Oryzias latipes: one gene and its partners. The protein of the gene in region 1 binds, or shares a complex with, the protein of each later gene. Links are inferred from orthologs where the notes say so. Each region holds a gene or a part of one and is shown in the gene's direction. Other genes may lie near its edges.

Region 1 (3,655 bases):
AGTGGATAATCTGTTAGGTTTAAAAGTTGGTGATAAATGACTGGCACTGGGTAACACATTAACATGTATCTTTGTGTTTCTCCGAAGGTTTTGTTTATATCTGTTTTGACAAACCGTAGGGGGAAGAAAAAACCTAAACAGTCTGAGACAGTGGTTTACAGAAGATATTTTTACTATCTTCTGTGCTCAGCTTGGAGAACCATGTGTCCTAGAAGCTTTGAAGCTCTGTGTATCCAGCTATCTGTTTTTATTTAGTTGGATTTCTGTTTGGTGTGCCAGGATGTGCAGGCCTCTCATGTACAAAAAACTCTCCCATCTTTATTCCGCTTCTCCTCTACTCTAAAGTCTCCTCCCTAGCGTCTTGGTTTTTTTTTTCCCCTCCCCTTTTGTTACAAACACTGTATAGTCTCCCAAGATGGTTAGGGCGGGCTCTCTCCCCGTCTGTGTGACTCATGTAACCAATGGAATTCAGTCCGGAAAGCTTTCAGTGGAAGTTTTGATTTTTAACTCTTTCGTTTTGGCCGGCTCCTTAAAGGACGCGTCCGCTTGCAGCAGCTCCCACTGTTTTGCTTGGTCTGCAGTGTTTGTGTGTGAGGGCTGGTGGGGGGGAAGGTTTGGTGGTGGGGGAGGGGGGGGGGGGCAGCTCCTTTGATCAATAAAGCATAAATGAGGGGGCTTCAAAATGGGTTTCATTGTGTCAGGGGGAGGAGTGCTGAGTCAGGCCCTCTCACTCTCTGGCCTGGGACAGAAAGCAGACAGGCAGGCTGGGATTACGGCACAGTCCGAGAGAAACTTTTTGAACCCCTCACTACAACCATCTGTTCCAAAATCCTGCCTAATGGTGCCTTGAGATCAAATTAACCACGAGCTGTAACAACACGGAGTGGGTGGGAAAACGCATCCACAACATGGGATGTGTAGTTCAAAATAAGAGAATAGTAGCTGTTACACTTTTTCGTAAACCCACTCTGTCATTAAGTTCGGTACCTTTTTATGTCCGATGAGGAGCTCCCTAAATAAAAATAAAAAGACAACAAAAAGTAAAAGAACAAGTGAATAGTTTTAGGTCGTAGCTCAGTCTGCGCTTTTGTCAAGCAGGTGAAAGCTTTGTAAATGTGGCGCCAGATTGTTAAAGCCCCTGACACTCTGCAGTGTCCGAAGCGCTTCCAGGGAAAAAAAAAAGAGGGGGGGGGGGGGGGGCCTTGTGTTGAGGCCTGGCACTGACCCTCCCTCAATAGAGAGGGTCCTGCTTGGAAGAGAAGGGTTTCCTGTATTAGCTTTCAATCTTAATCAAGCAACAAGTGCCAACAAAGCACTAATTATCAATGCCTTCACAGTGCACACAATGACCTCTACCCCCCAGCTCCCCTGATCCCATCCCAGCGAAGATAGTGAGAAAATAGATGAAGCAACATTGTTTGATGTGACAATGGTTGTTTTGAAACCAGTTATGGCCTCTTAGATAGTCCCAAATTGTCTTTTTTGTTTATTTTTTGCCATCTTTTACCTCTTATATTGTTCTTGTTCTGTCCAGATATGTCGTATGTGTAAGTATGAACTCTACAGGTGAGGTTGAAAAACAGGGATTGATTTCATCAAGGAGTCCCTCTTGAGTAATCACTCCATGTTTGCTTCTGGTCTGAATTTGCTGCTGCAAGAAACTGATTTTGACTTTTCTGTTATTTTGTTTTTTCTACAGCCACATTGATCAAACCACCACTTGGCAGGATCCACGCAAAGCCCTGCTCCAGTTGAACCAGGCTACCCCTCCCAGTACCGTTCCAGTTCAGCAGCAGAACCTTTTAAGCCCAGCTAGTGGTATGTACTCTTGCTCCTTCTTAGTTTATCACTTGTAGTTTGTCATTTCATGTTTTTGTGGATTGACTTCTAATTTACGCCCCAATGAAGGACATTTGCTTTCATACAGCGCACACTCGAATCCAGGTGTAGTCTAGTTCTTACATGTCACCACCCGGAGTGCCTCAGTTCTGGCCATTTTGTTGGAATTTGCCCTAGGTGATGTAAGACTCAGGCGTAAAGTTACACCTCCTGTCTGACATGTTTTGGAGCTCTGTGGTTCACAGATTAAAAGTCTACAGATAGAAGTTTATCCTCCTCACACTGTTAACTTGAGAGAAAACATAAAAATAACCCGGGCTGCAGACCAAAAAACCGGTTTGTTTGTCACTGACATAACAATTTACTCCAAGATAAAAGTTGCAGCTGATCGTTTCCTTTGGTACCTGTTCTTTAAATATACCCTGTTAGGCTTTTTGAATGTTTGTCTAAACTTGAACGCAAATTACCTCTTCAACAACATTGGCTGAGAGTATACTCACGTTTGAAACGCGCAGCTATGACAGGATCAAGCTCTGTCATTTGGGTTATTGTTGCCTTGCTACTCTTTGTTAGTGAGTCAACTTTTTTGTCTTTAGTTTTGACTCTAAATTGATTTTGACAACAGTAAAAAGGTTTACTGTTTAACTGACTTTACATTTGGAGCTTTTTTGTTATCGTTAAAAAGCAATAATTGAAGTGGCATTGAGATCGTCTTCCAAAGTACATATTGGGTATTGTCCATCATGATCAAAAGGATGACTTAAACTGTGCAAAGTTTAAACACCAGGTTTCCATCTTGAGAGGATTTTCTTAGTGTAAGGTGATAACATCGCCCGTGATTACTTATGTCAACATTGGTGTTGAAGTTTTGTCAATTATTGTCCAAACCCATTCATTTATTCTTTACATATTTTGTGATAGCTAAGGTTTAAAGCTTCCTGTAACCTCTCCCAATTGTCTTTGGGTAAAGATACACCCAGTGCAAGTTGATTATCAGCAGAATTTTTTTTTTAACCAATATTGTCGCAAAAAGCAATGGGGCAAAATCCATAGCTTCCCATTTTGTCCTAGGTGGCATTTTAACCTCTAAGGACACGTTCACATTGGAGCATTTGGTGTGGAGTAGAGTTCCTCTGAAACCTCTGAAAGCTTTCTTAGCTCTGCAAGTGGGAGAGCTCATCTGAATTCTTAATCAAGCAAATACTGGTCCACTTGAAAAGCAAGGGCTTTGGTTCATTTGCAAGCAAATGTTGGTGCTGCCCACCCCAATATAAATGCAAACGCTACAACTGATGTGGAAATAACTCAAGGAACGAAAAAACCATACGTTTTATATAGTTTCGTGGTGTAATGGGGAAATCCAGGCGTTCAATAATATGCGTTAATCAGAGATTGAACAGTACTAGCCTGTTTTCCTGTCTGTGCCCTTTTTGCTGGTCAGTTCTTATTCCTGGTAATAACCATCCCAGACTTTCAGCTGTTGCAGCTGTATGACTTTTCCCTCTATTTGGTACACTCAAGTGAGACAGCTAACCCCAATAAAGGTGTGAACATTTTTGGAATAACCCACCTAATCAAAAGCAAGTCAACGGGAGTATTTTATTGTGAAAGCACCCCCACATCAAGGAAGTTGGATGTCTAGTTACATTTGACGCTGATGAACCGACACATAAAAGCAGAATTCAAAGTAGCTAGCCAGAAAAGATGCAAACCTAAAATAACAAAAGGTGAGTATATCCTCAATGCTAATGTTTTTATCGATATTTCACTAAATACTCTGTAAATATTGCCTTTCGCGAAATCGCCAGTTAGCTGT
Region 2 (2,945 bases), on another chromosome or scaffold:
CCTGTGTGTCTAAAAGACATGTCAGGATCGGAGGCTGACATCTGCAGGAGACACAAAGTCTTATCTGGGAGATAAATCCCTCCTTTTCCCCCCGTTTAGATCGCTGGATGTTTTGTTTTCCTGTGCACGCCATGAGATTTAAAATAAAATCCCCCTCTGGCTCGGTTTGGTCCAACTTCAAAGGACACAAGCCCTTCTTGCTTTATGGAGAAGCATGCTTTCAGTTTGCGCCCCCCCCCCTTCCCCATCCTCGTCTTCCTCTCCTAATGTTGTCTTTTTCCCTCCCCTCTCCCTGCATTTAATGAAGGCTAATGACAGGCCGTGCTAAGTCAGCTTGGACCGGCAAAGATCCTGCCGCATTACCATTACAGTTAGTCTCAGACGGGACCTTCCAAATTACCGGTTACATTCCCAGCTACTGCCAAATGAAAGAGGGAGTCAAATGAGAAAGATGTGTGCTGGGAGGGACTTTGTCTCCCCTCTTTTTTTTATGTAAAAACTTGTTTCGACGGGAAAAAAATCCAGCAAAGAGACAAATCCAGATAAGAGAAGTCGCAACAAAGAGGTGGGGACCCTTCAAAAGCTTCAAAGGTACCTAAAGATCAGGAGAGGGAAGCAAAAGTTGCAGAAGTAACAGTCAAAATATGTGAAAAGCATTCCTTCTCTGCTCCCCGCCCCCCTCCCTGTCTCCCTCCATTTCCCTTGCGCCTGACTGGCTCCCACTTTTCTAGCTGAGAGCCAGATTTCTGCGGAATAGAGATATGAAGGGCGAGGGGGGGACGGCACAGGAGGCACTCCGAAGGGGGGGAAACAGGCGAGGGGGGGAAGGAGTTTGGAAACTAGAGCATAGCCATTTCTACACTTCTTTTACACCCAGGGGAAACTTTAGACCGGTGAGGCCTTGCTTGTCAACGGTCCAGACACCAGAGTTCGAGAGTTAACGGCCTGTCTCAAACGTCTGCCGCGCATGGTTTATGTGTTTGTGTGAGAGCTCTTCATCTGGTTGCCGCCAGAGTCATCCTAGCTTTATCTTTGTCAATCAAAGATGGGTTTTTATTTTTATTTTATATCCTCCAGCAGAGTGAGAAGTGTTGCTGTAGAGACGATGAGGACGGTAGGCTGACGTCAGTACATTGTTGGCAGTGCTGCTACAAAAATACAGTGAGCCAGACAGAAGATAAGCATTTAATGCCTAGATAAATATTGTAGTACATGTGGAAACTTGCCTGGCTGTGTCTCTGGGTTGATTTTCTTGTCAAAGATCCAGGAATTCCGACATGGCTTTCCTGCATGGCAGAAATTGGGGAGGACAGTTTTGTTTTGGCTCCCGACTTAAGAGAAGTCGCAATTTCCCAAAACAGTGATAAAGCATACTTTCTTCCGTTGCAGCAGATTTCCTTTTAGATATATTTGACATTTGAGTTTTCTATCCACTTCTCTTTGCACCTCTTTACTTATTTACCATAATCATTGATGTTACTTTTTTTATAACATTCTATGCTTCCTCTTTTTCAGATTCTTTGGCGTTGCAGGACTCTGAGCGAGGCTATTGGTGCGTGGTGGCTTACTGGGAGGAGAAGACACGCGTTGGGCGCCTCTATTCGGTCCAGGAGCCCTCTCTGGACATTTTCTATGATCTACCTCAAGGGAACGGCTTCTGCCTGGGCCAGCTCTGCTCCGACAACAAGTCCCAACTGGTGCAGATGGTGCGGAGCAAGATCGGTTATGGCATCCAGCTGACACGCGAGCCAGACGGAGTGTGGGTCTACAACCGCAGCTGCTACCCTATCTTCATCAAGTCGGCCACACTGGACAACCCAGACTCACGCACGCTGCTGGTGCACAAGGTGTTTCCTGGATTCTCCATTAAAGCTTTTGACTATGACAAGGCCAACAGCCTCCAGAGGCCAAACGACCACGAGTTCACGCAGCAGCCTCGCACAGGCTTCACGGTGCAGATAAGCTTTGTGAAAGGCTGGGGACAATGCTACACCAGACAGTTCATCAGTAGTTGCCCATGCTGGTTAGAAGTCATCTTCAACACCCGATAGCAGCAGCCTTTTCCCTCGTCACCCTCATCCTCGGAAAAAAAATACTTCACCCATCTTTCTTTTTTCGTTCCAGCGGCTCAAACACAGAAAAAAAAGGATTTAAAAGAAGAAGAAGAAAGTTTAAAATCCTGACAGACTTTGTTTCATAATTGACTGAAATTTAATTAAAGAAGAAGTGAAAAAAATGTATTTTATGTTAAATATAAATATATTATTAATTGTAAATATGAAGATGTTTTATATGCATCATTATTTATGTATTGTGCAATGTGTTGATGAGAAAAAAACAAGATGCACTTTGCTTAATATAAGTACAAAAACAAAGAAATGCCAAAATAATAAAAAAAAGCCAATAATATTTTGTATTCAGTCTCTTTGGTTTTTCCTTCTTTTGGGGGGATTTTAACATTATTATTTTACCAGCCTTCTTTTTGCACAATTTTCAAATCAGTTCATTAAATTGGATCCACATGTTCCCTCCATAAAGCCCCTCTAATTTTGTCTTCTTTATAACTAAAGTCAACATTGGCTTGACTTAGTGTTACTAAAGGGCTTTTAGGCCATGCCGTGTATCTTAAAAGCAATTTCCTCAAAGACAAAAATGAGTCAGACTTTGACAGAATCCCATCTCAAAGCCCCCTGTTTCTACAGCCTCATCATGCCTAAAAACTGTCTGTTTTCTTGAGTTATTTGGGGAAGAATGTCTCTCATCTTCTCTGTCATTACCTGACTCATGACATCACAGCCAGGAAGCGGTAATGGCGATTGTCAGGAACCAATAAAGTCAACAGTGGGTCCAGGTTTCTAAAGGAACCAGTTTATTCAAATGTTTGGTTAAGAGAAAGGATGAAGATTTTTTTTGTCACATCTATGAAAAGTAACTATGGAGACAAA
Region 3 (3,655 bases), on another chromosome or scaffold:
GTTGGTATATCCTTACACCCCTAGCTACCTGTGGCTGGGAGTTTCCTAGATTCATACCTATATTTGGGTATCGTGCTGCCACCCTGACAAGTGGGAGTGTCCAACTGCGGTTGCACATAATATCACAGCCCAGATCACATTCTGTTAAACAGCTTGAGCTTGTGTTGCTAATCTAATTAGTGGTAGTGACCTCCACTAAAATATTTATGCAGGAAAAATCCTGTTTTAAAGATCAAAAACTTAAGGATGTTAGTCTATGTGTTCATATACTTTTAATATTTTTTGACTATGACGCCTAAACTCTTCATTCCATTATTAGTGACAGTATTATGAAAAAATATTACGTGCAAAAATGTGATTTCATTAATATGAAAAAGAAGCATTCAGCTATTGCTAAATCAAAAAAAAAAGATGGATGGACAGAAAATAAAGACACACTTTGTATGCTTTTGCCAAACTCCAATCTAAATATTCATGACTATCCCTAATCAGACTTACAGCACCTTGTCTGGGTACTCTGGATTTTTTTAATTTTGTGTTTACTTTTTTCTAAAGTTGCTCAGTTGTCTTTCATCATCTTCAGGTTCAATGAACTAGAAGTGTATCTATTACGCAATAGGTGGGAACACCTCAATAGTCAACAGAACGGACTGTGATTGGCAGCCAGTTGTTTCAAAAGGAATCCCACACAACAGAACTCCGGTCCACACAGAACCAAGGTTCTTATTTTTGTGAAGCGGCTGTGCTCAGTACCCTCATTCATATAACAATAAAGGTCCAGCTCATAAACGGCTCATTTATACAGTTTTATTTTAAAAAGCCTCCCAACTCTCTTGAATAATATCAGACCCATGTATGTTTTTTTTTTGTTTTTTTTGTTTTATTGCTTCTACAAATGTCTACAATTTTGCACACCAAATCTCAGAGATTCTGGACACTTCTACAGATAATGGTACCGGGCGCAGCTGCTCAAAACAAATCTGTTGCTGGAAGTGGGAGTTGGTGCGTCTTTTTCTGCTCCACAAGCTGCATCCTGCACCGGAAGCAGGTTTCTATTGTGTACCAGCTCCAGTTAGGCAAAAGACAAAACACACCTGCCAGTCAGTGCCATGCTAAAGAGGGATTTTGGGAGACATATGTACCTAAATACACATGATTTGTTCCTTTCAATTATGGGATGGGGCCAGCTCAGAACTCTGGCAAAAGTAACTGGAAATCCGGAATGACTGCGAACCTTTATGATGAAATTATTCATTTTTTCTGCTTCAAGTCTTAAAGATATTATGTTTTAATATTTAAAAAAACGATTGATGAGATTCTGTTGTAGGAGTGAGTTAGAATTGATGTGGACTGACTGACTATGTTGGAATGTTCTCAGTGTCCTCTCCAGATGTGCAGCCAGTGGCTTATGAAGAACCCAAGTACTGGTGCTCCATTGTTTACTACGAACTCAACAATCGAGTAGGTGAAGCGTTCCAGGCTTCCTCCACCAGTGTTCTCGTCGACGGCTTCACAGATCCCTCCAACAATCGCAATCGATTTTGCCTCGGCCTGCTCTCCAATGTGAACCGGAACTCCACCATCGAGAACACCCGACGGCACATTGGCAAAGGTAATCCCGTAAGCAGGTTCCTATGGAGCTTAGCTTTTGTTTCTGATATGAACACACAAACCTTAACTCAGTAAAATGGAATCACAAAAAGGGGGGGGGGGGGGGGGGGGGGGGGTTCAGACCAGGGCAAAGTAAAGACCATACCGTTTTAAAACCAGAAATATCACTGCGGACACCTAAATATAACTCGCTCTTTGACCTTTATTTGCATAAACAGTTGAGAAGTGACGGTAGTTGAAACAATGTCAAGCTCAGGTGGGAAAGGGTTAAGATAAGATAAGATAAGATAAGATAAGACTTTATTTATCTCATGATGGATAAATAAAGTCCATCATGGACTTTATTTCCAATAAAGTCATCCAAATAGCAAATATTCAGTAGCAAATATTTGATTATTAGTACATTAACCAGATGTGTAACTGGATCCCTTCTGCGTTGTTTAAGGAGTAAAAAGATGTTGGGACACAGCAGAACCCATGGAGACCACCTCTATGAATTGCGGATCTGACAATTTTCCCAAAAGAAAATAGAAACCACAGTGTTAGCATCCCGTATCAGCTCCTCTCCCACGGGACTATAAAACAGAAAGGGCAGGGGATAACGCATACCTGACAATTTTCTGAGAAGAAAATGATATATAATAATAAAAAGGTACAAGGTACATTAAGCCCATTCATATTTTAAGTGAGGGTCTGCACCAGGATAAAAAAACAAAAATGTCACCTTAACATCTGACTGTTTTAGGTTCATGGCTGATGATTCTGACATTGAAGTTATGGTGATTAAACGTTTGTCTCTCTGTTTCACCTCTTAGGCGTCCATCTGTATTACGTTGGAGGAGAGGTGTATGCAGAATGTCTAAGTGACAGCAGCATATTTGTCCAGAGTCGTAACTGTAACTACCAACATGGATTCCACCCCACAACTGTGTGCAAGATTCCCAGCAGATGCAGCTTGAAGATATTCAACAACCAGGAGTTTGCTGAGCTTCTGGCCCAGTCTGTCAACCATGGCTTTGAGGCAGTTTACGAGCTCACTAAGATGTGTACCATCCGCATGAGCTTTGTTAAGGTGAGTTGGTTCGGCGAGACTGAACGAGAACAGGAAGTTGGGGTTGTCCTTAACACTCTCCCCCCTTAGTATGATCTGTGCTGTTATATCTTTTCTATTTATTTTAATGCTTTGCCTGTAGCCTATTTTTTATTAACAGTTATTTTAATTGTCGTCTTATGATTCCTTTATAAATGTTATTTTTAGCTTTTAAGGTAGACAAAGAAAACAGATAACAAATAACCGCCGGGCAAATTCTGGCTTATTGCAGGGATGCTTTTAAATTGAAATTGAAATTGAAGTTAACTTTTATTGGCAACAACAACCACAGATGGTTGGTGCTGCCTGTACTTACAGGTTCCTTTTGTAGCATAAATGCAAATGTCTGTCTGATGTTAAAACCAAATTGATTATCAGTAGAAAACATAAAACAATTAAAGTAATCTGAGTTATGTTGATTTCAATTACTATTTGTATAAAAAAACATTTGTATAAAAAAAGAAATGTTTATTTTTTCATCAGTGAATCCCTATTTGCAGAAATAAAAGTTACAAACAAAATACACAGATTTGCATCGTTGAGCACCAGCTGTTTCCAGCATCACTTTAAACTACTAGAACTGTCAGGACACGGTTTCCCACAATGCACTGTTTTGTAGTGATAAGGTGCCTCGCAGATACAAATTTAGTACTGCGCTGAACTGGGTAGGCGCATTGCACCCGCCCTTTTTTCTCGAGATGCTTTTATGATGATTGACATGTGACGAAGCATAAAACTAACCAGCATACACCGCACAGCAGGTGATCTGTGCAGCACTGCGTCCGCCTGGGGGATATCAAACACTATTAGATGACTCTGGTGATCACACATCCTGATAGGCTGAAGACACTTGATTTAGGTAGATTTAGGTAGTCCCGGGAGAGCTGGGACACAGGCAGGATTATGTAAATTATGTAATCCTGGAAACATTTGTTTTTAAATATTTCTTATATA

The links. The genes of interacting proteins can lie anywhere in the genome.
Region 2: the proteins of yap1 (region 1) and smad7 are in contact, whole or in part, in an NMR structure (PDB 2LTV), measured with the Homo sapiens proteins. The link is inferred for Oryzias latipes from reciprocal best matches to the Homo sapiens genes YAP1 and SMAD7. Residues at the interface, in NP_001123617.1 of Homo sapiens: Thr241, Gln242, Asp243, Tyr247, Ile249, Asn250, His251, Lys254, Thr255, Thr256, Ser257, Trp258; in NP_005895.1 of Homo sapiens: Ser206, Pro207, Pro208, Pro209, Pro210, Tyr211, Tyr214, Pro215, Met216, Asp217.
Region 3: the proteins of yap1 (region 1) and smad1 are in contact, whole or in part, in an NMR structure (PDB 2LAW), measured with the Homo sapiens proteins. The link is inferred for Oryzias latipes from reciprocal best matches to the Homo sapiens genes YAP1 and SMAD1. Residues at the interface, in NP_001123617.1 of Homo sapiens: Glu237, Ala239, Met240, Thr241, Tyr247, Ile249, Asn250, His251, Lys254, Thr255, Thr256, Trp258; in NP_001003688.1 of Homo sapiens: Thr222, Pro223, Pro224, Pro225, Ala226, Tyr227, Leu228, Pro229, Pro230, Glu231, Asp232, Pro233.

What each region holds. Positions count from the first base shown.
Region 1 is NC_019871.2:6,499,733-6,503,387, forward strand, and holds part of yap1 (transcriptional coactivator YAP1), read left to right. Parts: intron 1-1,699; coding exon 1,700-1,818; intron 1,819-3,655. UniProt on the Homo sapiens protein: Transcriptional regulator with dual roles as a coactivator and corepressor. Critical downstream regulatory target in the Hippo signaling pathway, crucial for organ size control and tumor suppression by restricting proliferation and promoting apoptosis.
Region 2 is NC_019870.2:9,747,057-9,750,001, reverse strand, and holds the end of smad7 (mothers against decapentaplegic homolog 7), read left to right. Parts: intron 1-1,515; coding exon 1,516-2,051; 3' UTR 2,052-2,387; downstream 2,388-2,945. UniProt on the Homo sapiens protein: Antagonist of signaling by TGF-beta (transforming growth factor) type 1 receptor superfamily members; has been shown to inhibit TGF-beta (Transforming growth factor) and activin signaling by associating with their receptors thus preventing SMAD2 access.
Region 3 is NC_019859.2:18,368,603-18,372,257, forward strand, and holds part of smad1 (mothers against decapentaplegic homolog 1), read left to right. Parts: intron 1-1,378; coding exon 1,379-1,612; intron 1,613-2,426; coding exon 2,427-2,683; intron 2,684-3,655. UniProt on the Homo sapiens protein: Transcriptional modulator that plays a role in various cellular processes, including embryonic development, cell differentiation, and tissue homeostasis.